Saccharomyces cerevisiae S288C: one gene and its partners. The gene in region 1 interacts genetically with each later gene. Each region holds a gene or a part of one and is shown in the gene's direction. Other genes may lie near its edges.

What was found.
Region 2: mutations in GUP1 (region 1) and KRE1 together harm fitness more than expected from each alone (negative genetic interaction), as found in Saccharomyces cerevisiae (5 studies listed by BioGRID, with this or other methods).
Region 3: mutations in GUP1 (region 1) and OPI3 together harm fitness more than expected from each alone (negative genetic interaction), as found in Saccharomyces cerevisiae (6 studies listed by BioGRID).

Annotation. Positions count from the first base shown.
Region 1 is NC_001139.9:350,049-353,847, reverse strand, and holds GUP1 (O-acyltransferase), read left to right. Parts: upstream 1-1,549; coding exon 1,550-3,232; downstream 3,233-3,799. Other genes in the region: SCY1 (Scy1p), read right to left, coding at 1-790; LCL3 (Lcl3p), read right to left, coding at 3,408-3,799. UniProt on the Saccharomyces cerevisiae protein: Membrane-bound O-acyltransferase involved in the remodeling of glycosylphosphatidylinositol (GPI) anchors. Acts only on GPI-anchored proteins, but not on free GPI lipids.
Region 2 is NC_001146.8:32,727-35,922, reverse strand, and holds KRE1 (Kre1p), read left to right. Parts: upstream 1-1,687; coding exon 1,688-2,629; downstream 2,630-3,196. Other genes in the region: VNX1 (calcium/hydrogen antiporter), read right to left, coding at 1-1,227; LEM3 (Lem3p), read right to left, coding at 2,735-3,196. UniProt on the Saccharomyces cerevisiae protein: Involved in a late stage of cell wall 1,6-beta-glucan synthesis and assembly.
Region 3 is NC_001142.9:571,748-574,826, reverse strand, and holds OPI3 (bifunctional phosphatidyl-N-methylethanolamine N-methyltransferase/phosphatidyl-N-dimethylethanolamine N-methyltransferase), read left to right. Parts: upstream 1-1,891; coding exon 1,892-2,512; downstream 2,513-3,079. Other genes in the region: HOC1 (alpha-1,6-mannosyltransferase), read right to left, coding at 1-846; Ran GTPase-binding protein MOG1, read right to left, coding at 1,076-1,732; GTPase NPA3, read left to right, coding at 2,703-3,079. UniProt on the Saccharomyces cerevisiae protein: Catalyzes the second two steps of the methylation pathway of phosphatidylcholine biosynthesis, the SAM-dependent methylation of phosphatidylmonomethylethanolamine (PMME) to phosphatidyldimethylethanolamine (PDME) and of PDME to phosphatidylcholine (PC).

The DNA of each region.
Region 1 (3,799 bases):
TTTCGCTGCGAAACAAGTCTTTACCAGTGTACAGAAAATATATCAACAATCCTAAAGAAAAATAATCGTTCTTAAAGGTTAGGGTATTCTCAAAAACAATTTCTGGGGCCGTATAATTCAATTGTAAATGCATAAATGGGGGAACTCTGGGATCATATTGAGGTAAGAAGTATTCAGAGGTATTTGTGCCTGGTGGTATTTTTACTAAATAGCCTAAGCCGGAAATTTTCCAATCAGAATTTTCATTGATAAATATTGCCCTAGGTTGAATGTTCAAGTGTACAAAGCTTGCGCGGTTATGAACAAAATCGAGTGCATTTACCAGTTGCAATATACCTCGCTGTACCACGATATTATCTTTAACATGACCTTGTAAGAAATTCTGCTCTTCATCATCGGTTTCTCTGAAAACGGTCTCCAATGAGCTAGTGACAAACTCGGTGACGAACATGAAATTCTTGCTATGTTCTTCTAATGGTTCAATTAAAGTCAGAATATTTGGGTGCTTGAGCTTGGCCAAGTTATTGGCCTGGTTTCTTAATATTTCGTACGCTTCTTGTATTAATACTTTATCTCTGGATCCAGATTTGGATTTAATAATACCATAGTGTAACAAATAGTTTTCGAACTGCTTCTTGTCAAACATGAATATCGATACTTTGGAAGGTGAAGATGAAGATGAAGATTTGGGACGACCGGTGTAAATGCTCCATGGTTCAGCTGTGAAAGTAGGTGATGATGAAAATGAATATTTTGACGTGATACCCGTCTTTGAGGACCAAAACATCATCCCTGCTCAATCAAAGTGTGTCCTATTTTCCTTAATGATACGATATTCGAAGTTACACTGTTTTGAATACTTTTGTGCGCTTTAATATGTGCAAGATTTATTTGTTTTGATATTAACTTCTTTTTGGCTTCTATTTTTTCAAGACTGCAGTACCCTTTTTTTCACGCAACTTCAGGTTCGAACCGAAGAATAGTTTAATTACGTTTAGTTTTCCTACTGAAACTTTTTTTTTAAAAGACCCTGAGAATTTCATCTCGAGAATAATGAAGACCAATATATAAGTAATGAATCATAAAAGTACAAGAGCAGGATCAAAGTTGAATGTCTCAACAACAGGACAAGAAAATGAGTGAAGAAGGAGCATATGTACGGGTGAGCATTTTTCTTGTATAAACATAAACTAGCTGAACATCAGCTCAATCGGACATAAAAATAAGTTTCCAATTAGACATGCACTTGAACTTGTAATTATTTATCGACCAAAAAGAGTAAGTTAATTTTCACATAATCTTGGAAAAGCCAGAAACAAGATTCGAGAGCTGGAGAATGGATGATGAATCAAGCAATGTTGAACAATCAAAATAATATAGGGTGTATAGGTGTTCACGTATTTCTCTTTATGTTTAGTGGGTGTGCCAAAAAGGACACTGAAAGGGTAAGAATAATAACTTAGCATATTGCTTTCGATATATAGATGTTAATCATACAAAGGCAAAAACAAAGCGTGAATCAGCATTTGTTAACAGACAATTGCAAGAAATGTCGCTGATCAGCATCCTGTCTCCCCTAATTACTTCCGAGGGCTTAGATTCAAGAATCAAACCTTCACCAAAAAAGGATGCCTCTACTACCACTAAGCCATCACTATGGAAAACTACTGAGTTCAAATTCTACTACATTGCATTTCTGGTCGTGGTTCCCTTGATGTTCTATGCTGGGTTACAAGCTAGTTCGCCCGAAAATCCAAACTATGCAAGATACGAACGTCTCCTATCTCAAGGTTGGTTATTTGGCAGAAAAGTAGACAATAGTGATTCTCAATATAGGTTTTTCAGGGACAATTTTGCGCTATTGTCAGTTTTAATGCTAGTCCACACTTCTATAAAACGCATTGTACTTTATTCAACAAATATCACTAAATTGAGGTTTGATCTGATATTTGGTTTGATCTTTTTAGTGGCCGCTCATGGTGTCAATTCGATAAGAATTTTAGCCCATATGCTAATTTTATATGCCATCGCCCATGTACTAAAGAACTTTAGAAGAATAGCCACCATCAGCATTTGGATTTATGGTATTTCTACGCTTTTTATTAACGACAACTTCAGAGCATATCCATTTGGTAATATTTGCTCTTTTTTAAGCCCATTGGACCATTGGTATAGAGGTATCATTCCAAGATGGGATGTCTTTTTCAATTTTACTCTTTTGAGAGTCTTAAGTTACAACTTGGACTTCTTAGAGAGGTGGGAGAATTTACAAAAGAAGAAAAGTCCATCCTATGAATCAAAAGAAGCTAAATCAGCCATTTTGCTCAATGAACGTGCTAGATTAACTGCTGCACACCCCATACAGGACTACAGCTTAATGAATTATATTGCATATGTTACTTACACGCCACTTTTCATTGCCGGCCCCATTATAACATTCAATGATTATGTTTACCAATCGAAACATACCTTGCCATCAATAAATTTCAAATTCATTTTTTACTATGCGGTGAGATTCGTTATTGCTCTCTTATCTATGGAGTTCATTTTACACTTTCTCCACGTTGTGGCAATCTCAAAAACCAAAGCGTGGGAAAATGACACACCTTTCCAGATTTCCATGATTGGCTTATTTAATTTGAATATTATTTGGCTAAAACTACTGATTCCGTGGAGGCTGTTTAGGCTGTGGGCTTTGCTAGACGGAATCGATACACCTGAAAATATGATCAGGTGTGTTGATAACAATTACAGTTCACTAGCATTCTGGAGAGCTTGGCATAGAAGCTACAATAAGTGGGTTGTCCGTTACATATATATTCCTCTAGGTGGTTCAAAAAATAGAGTTTTGACATCACTAGCAGTCTTTTCCTTCGTAGCTATATGGCATGACATCGAACTAAAGTTATTATTATGGGGTTGGCTAATAGTTTTGTTCCTCTTACCAGAAATTTTTGCTACCCAAATTTTCTCTCATTATACCGACGCAGTCTGGTACAGACACGTTTGCGCTGTCGGTGCTGTTTTCAACATATGGGTTATGATGATCGCTAATCTTTTTGGATTCTGCTTGGGCTCTGACGGTACTAAAAAATTACTAAGCGATATGTTCTGTACCGTATCTGGTTTCAAATTTGTAATTTTGGCAAGCGTTAGTTTATTCATCGCAGTACAAATAATGTTTGAAATCAGAGAAGAAGAAAAGAGGCACGGAATTTACCTAAAATGCTGAATGCCAAATTTACGAATATCAATTGTATAACACTGCTATCATGTATGTATTTTTATCTACTAGTACAAAAATGAAACCGAAAATAAATAAAAAAATATCGAGAGGAAGCGTGAAAAGCTAATGAACATATAATATGAAAATCTGCAGTATGATGGATAAAAATCCTCTCGAAAACTCAAATACGTTTTTTATATTCACCAGGCGTTTCAAATTTATTCTGGATCCACAGTCCCTTTTTTCTAGATCTTGCCAAAAATTCATAATATCGATACTTATCTTCTCTATCATCAAATTCTGTGTTTACTTTACCCTCATAAACAACCGCTAATCCATCCTTGAGCATTTCTAAGCTTAAGTCTTTCCACCCACCAAACCAGTCCCAGTATGACACTCGAGCTACACAACGGTTGTACTGATCTATAGATAAAGGCTTGACCCATACTTTCTTTCCCAAAATTCGGTTTTGTAACCAAATTAAAGCTTCATTACCAAACGGTTGAGCTGGGTTACCGAAATGTGCTCTTTCTGGGGCATCGATTCCACATAATCTTATAGGAATAGTTGGCA
Region 2 (3,196 bases), on another chromosome or scaffold:
GAGATGGAAGATTGTATAGAAAAGAACACGACCCCAGCTCCATTTTCCTCTCCCAAAGTACCGTCTTTGAGCCGCTGCGTGCGGAATTTCGTGTCTAATAGAATTATATGATGGATGGTTCGAGTTAAGCGGTGTTGCTGTTGTGTTAGCGGGCGGCATCAAAGACGAAGATTCCGTTGCAGGGGCCGGATGGTCCTCTCTTTGCTGAAACTTGGCCTGAGACTGGTGGAAGACCAGCCTGTTGGAGTATGAAGTCACCCAATTGTAGAATTGCTGCATACTAATACCTTCATCCTTATCTTCTTGTAAATATTGCTCGTCCTGCAACAAGTATACCATTTTGCCAAAAGGCCAAAGGAAATAATTGGCGAGTTTATACAGACACTTGGAGTACTCCTTCGCAGAGTTCGTTACCAGTCCTCCGCCGCCTAGTAAAAATACCACAATAGCCGCCGAGTAGAAGAGTATCGCAATGGGGAAACCGAACAAAATAAACCATAGCACATTGGAACAAGTCACCTCCCAGGTAATAGTCTTCAACTGAGTCTCGTGAATGTCTTGCGCCGCGGTTCTTTGAACTGAACGGTGTTTCTTATATAAAGCAGGCTTCCATATCCTGATACCGAAGGGGTGGGTCTCGTTGATGGCGTCCTGTCTTTCTCGTAAAGTGAATGACTCTGTGGACGAAGCATTAGACGCCTGGTCATTGTTTTCCAAGTGTGAAGGCGACTGGCAATTGATCTCGTCTATAAGTAAATCATGGCCGTGCGAGTCGTGTATAATGAACCGACTGTCATCATTGGCGTCCTCGTCATCATTGTCATCATGAGGTAATTCCCGGATAGATGAATGCATTCGTTTCGGAGAGCTGGGAGTAGCTGTATTTAAGTCTGGCACAGAGTGCGACTTGGAGGATAGCGACTCTAGTGTGGGCGGCAAGTGTTGTTGGTGCTCGTGGTGGTGCAGCGTGTTGTTGCTGCTATGTACGATTGGTGATTGCGAGCTTACAGATCGCTTGGATTTATTGGCATGCAGGGCGAACTTCAACCCTTCATGCAGACCCTCAAGATACCTGATATCGTTTTGGATCTCCTTTGGATCATCGTCCACGCTAAATATTCTATGAGGAGTCGAGGCAGATGTAGTTGGGGTCAGAACCTCCTCTTTAAGACGATGGTCTCCAGAGGTACTGTTACCACTGGCAGAAATGTGGTTATTTTTGGCCATTGCTGCTTACCGCTCTTCTAGCTAGCAGTTATTTCACTTTCATTTACAGCATCCCTCATGTTTATTATCTTCTTTATCTAATATAAATTAGGAACTAAATAATCCCCTCACCGTATAAAGCGACAGTTCCGTGACGGTTACTATTATGAATATCTCAACGGAAAGAGGGCATTAAAAGATCATAATAGTTGGTACTCTCGTATTTTATATATATATATCACTATATTTTAACACTTTTACTGCTCAATTGTGCCATATACTTCGCCTTATTGCGTACATTCTTCACCTTGTATCCCCCTACCTCAGCGTGTATGGTGATATCGCGTTTTTTCATAAACTGAGAATGGGGCTTTTTCTATAACGTGTATTATGAAAAAAAGAAAATAAAAATCAAGAATTAAGCACTTGTATATGCTACAGTAAAGACCTCTTCAACTTCTGCAAGACAATCAAAAAAAAAATGATGCGTCGCACGCTATTACATTCATTCGCTACGCTGCTACTTTCTTTGTCGTTGTGGTCAGCTGCGGTCATGGCAGCTGTGACAACTCAGGTTACAGTGGTAACAAATGTCGCAGGGGCCCTGGTTACGGAGACCACAATATGGGACCCTGCCACCGCTGCTGCTGCTGCTACAACTACCGCTCAAACAGGTTTCTTCACTACGGTATTCACTACCACTAACGATGTCGGAACCACCGTCACTCTTACTCAGACAGTCAACAGAGCCACTATGCTACCAACCACGACGACTTCTACCTCATCTACTGGTAAGACAACCACCACTGTTCCTACCGCAACTTCATCGTTGTCTTCGGGACTGTATTTATCTACAGTTACCACGACAAACGATTTGGGTACCACAGTTACATTGACTCAAACGTTCACACATTCTAGCACCAGTGCTACTTCATCCGCCTCCTCGTCTGTGTCCTCGTCTGTATCTTCGTCTGGTTCATCCTCCAGTGTAAAGACGACCACATCGACAGGGAGCGCAGTAGCTGAAACAGGCACCAGGCCAGACCCCTCCACAGACTTCACAGAACCTCCTGTGTCTGCTGTCACTAGTCTATCTATTGACTCATACATTACCATCACTGAAGGTACAACCTCCACTTACACAACCACACGTGCGCCAACGTCCATGTGGGTCACTGTTGTTAGACAGGGCAACACTATCACTGTGCAAACTACTTTTGTCCAGCGTTTCTCCTCCCAGTACGTAACAGTCGCTTCTCCCTCCGTGGGGTCTATTGGGATGGGTACTTTAACCGGTACTGTAGGCGTTATTAAATCTGCAATAAAGAAAACAGTTTCGCATAATGAGGCCCAGCATCTAGGTATGAGTTCGTTTACTTCAATTTTGGGTGGGCTATTAACGGTTTTAATTTGGTTCTTATAAATTTTTATTCAGAAATAAACACAAACATATACATATATAAGAGTAAAAATAAAAAAATAAAAAAATTTTACAGGGTTAAAAATAAAGAAAACCATCACTCCTTTTCTATTTCATATTCCATGACAAACTTGATGCATCAGCAATCTTTCTACCGCCGAAGAGCCAAAACGTTAATAATATCAATGCCATGGCAGCACAAATACAGCCTCCAATCAGGTAAACTATACCTAAAAATGGATTTCTACCGCCAAGGTGAGAACCGTGAGTCAAGTAGATTCCCTTCTTACCATTAAACTCCAATACTGGCCAATGCAGACCGATATCCAACTGGTATTCACCCGCTGGCAAAGTATCGTTTTTATTGATTCTGATCAGTTTTGTAATTTTATCAAAAGCACCTGGCCTCATCCAGTTTTGGAACTCTTCCCAATCCTGAATATCAGGAATATTCGTCTCGTTGTATCCATCTGGATACATCTTTTCCCAATATGGTGGAGGTGCTATCTGTGTATAATTGTATTTGGTTTTTTTGTACCTTTTTTTATCAGATTCCCAATTGATTCCTTT
Region 3 (3,079 bases), on another chromosome or scaffold:
AGAAATGATTTCCCTCAAAACAGGGTGACCAGGTTTTGCTTGTATAATCCAAGTACCAAACTGAAGTCTTCTGATATACTTGGTTCTCCAGTCAGCTCTTTGAGCGTCTTCCTCAACTCCAACTATCAACCCAATGTCGGATGGCGACAACTCTTCAGGAATCCAGTTTGGAATTGGCTGAACAGGGAACGTGTCGATGTCAGCATAAACACCTCCATGAACTAACAGTATTAAGTATTTGAAAAAATCTATCTTTAGGATGATGGAGGGCAGAGCTTCGTAAGTCTCTAGGATTTCCGGTATGGAGTAGAAGTAGTGGTGTACTAGTGCGTTTATCACGTCATGGTTCAACACTTCGTGCGCAAAGCCCGGATTCTTGCTTTCCCACATGCCCTTTATATCTTGAACACGCTCGGGACCTTCATCATTGGACCAAGTTTGCCAAATAAATGCTGGGAACTTGACATGGGAATCGTAGGGGAAAGTCATAGCTATGCGTTCTCTTAGGGTGGCCTCCGGAGGTGTTTGTTTCAAGTCTTGGATTTTTTTTTCCAGGATCTTACGTTGTTTATCAAATTGCTTTGCTTGAACTTCCTGTTGGTGTCTGATCTCCTGAGCCAAACTCTCAAAATGTTGAACTAGATCAGAATCCGAACTCTGAATATTGTTGGCACTATTAATGCTTTGGGAAATCTCTTTGGGCAAGTTCTGCAGAATTTTTTGTAAATCAGTAGCATTAGAATTGTGAAATAGGTATCTAACTCCAAATGCTAATGAGATGAGGGCTATTATGGCGAATATCATCAACCTCCTGAAACTGGAGGCTCTTTTTGTTGTTTTGGCCATCGTTAACCGCTACAGTCTATATATCTATCTGCTGTCTTCCGAGTAGAGTGCCTCTTCTCTGCAAGAATACGTGCAAAATGGAAAGAGAGGAATGTTCATTATGGTCACTGTTATTTTTTCACTTTCTTCGCTGCTGGGAAATTTCGTTATACTTATCGGAAAAAACATGTAATACGCTATATAGTAGAAATAAAAAGGTAATATAAACATAAGGTTAAAATTTGAAAGATTAAGCAAACAGCGACGTGTCCACAACGTGAAACTTCCGTACCATTTCTTGCAACAATTGGTAAACAGCATGACATCTTGCAGGCAACTCTTTGTTGCTTGCTTGCGACGCCTCCTCCTTTGTCAAAGGTACATTAATGGAGATGACCACATCCGTGTCAAACTGGGTTAATCTGATCAACGCTACGCCGATGACAACGGTCTGTGCCAGATCTGGTTTTCCCCACTTATTTGCTACTTCCATAACGAGTCCGGTGAACTTGGTTCCTTGCTGAACAGTGTCTTCTTGTAAAGCTTCCCATTTGGTGGTCCCGTTCAACTCCGTCAGGTCTTCCACGTGGAACTGCCAAGCCTCCTTCAGATCGCTCTTGTCGACCGTCTCCAAGAGATCCACGATAATGCTTTCATTGGTGGCTAGTCCATCTTCGAATTCTTCTTCATCGCGACGGGAATTGACGTACACCTCCTGTGTATCGGGGACTTCTCTTAGAGTAGAAGCGTCTATAAACCCAGGTGGGACGACAGTAGTGATGGCGCCGCCGTATAATTCGACTTCCTTGTTGTTCATGCTTCCTTGATGACCAGGGTAGGTGTCAATGAGAGTGCATGTGGAAAGTTGCACCGGTTGTGAAATATGAGAAGCCTTTTCAATCTTCATATGCAAACCCACACATGCATCGTTGGTTTCTGTCCACTGCCACTGCAATGACCACTGGATAAGGGGTCTTTATAAGAGAACACATATGAAGAACATGAACGTTCTTGGACAGAGCCATAAACAGCAATTGAAGACAACAAGAATAGCGCAAGTCAAGCGATGAAGGAGTCAGTCCAAGAGATCATCCAGCAACTCATCCACAGTGTCGATTTACAGTCTTCCAAGTTCCAGCTGGCCATTGTGTGCACGATGTTCAATCCTATCTTTTGGAACATCGTTGCAAGAATGGAATACCACAAGCATTCTCTCACCAAGATGTGTGGTGGGGCCAGAAAGGGCTGTTACATGTTGGCGGCGACCATATTTTCGCTAGGTATCGTCAGAGACATGGTGTACGAGTCTGCATTGCGTGAACAGCCTACGTGTTCTCTGATCACGGGCGAGAACTGGACCAAGCTGGGTGTGGCTCTCTTTGGTTTGGGGCAAGTGCTTGTTTTGAGTTCCATGTACAAGCTGGGTATCACAGGGACGTACTTGGGTGACTATTTCGGCATCCTGATGGATGAGAGAGTCACCGGCTTCCCCTTCAACGTTTCCAACAACCCCATGTACCAGGGTTCCACTTTGTCCTTCTTGGGCATAGCCCTTTACAAAGGAAAGCCTGCGGGGCTGGTTGTTTCTGCCGTAGTTTACTTCATGTACAAGATCGCTCTTCGTTGGGAAGAACCTTTTACTGCCATGATCTACGCTAACCGTGATAAGGCCAAAAAGAATATGTAAGTGCTCTATTTCTATATATTCTATAATGTTAGAAGCCTATGCTATTACCGTTTCTATATAGCTCCATAAGCAATTTCTTCGCGAAAGTGAAAAAAAAAAATTTTAATGCGATGCTCTATTTAACAAGGAATACAATGAGAGCATCTAGCGCACACAAACAACTACAAAACGCAATAACGACACAGCAAGAATGAGTCTCAGCACAATCATATGTATTGGTATGGCCGGATCCGGTAAAACAACTTTCATGCAAAGGTTAAACTCCCACTTGCGGGCAGAGAAAACGCCACCATACGTAATCAATCTTGATCCTGCAGTATTGAGAGTCCCCTATGGTGCAAACATCGATATCAGAGACTCAATCAAATACAAGAAAGTGATGGAGAATTACCAGCTAGGTCCGAACGGTGCCATTGTCACCAGTTTGAATTTGTTCAGCACCAAGATTGATCAAGTTATTAGGTTGGTGGAACAGAAGAAGGACAAGTTCCAAAACTGCATCATCGACACTCCAGGCCAAATCGAATGTTTTGTGTGGAGTGCGTCGGGTGCCATTATCACGGAATC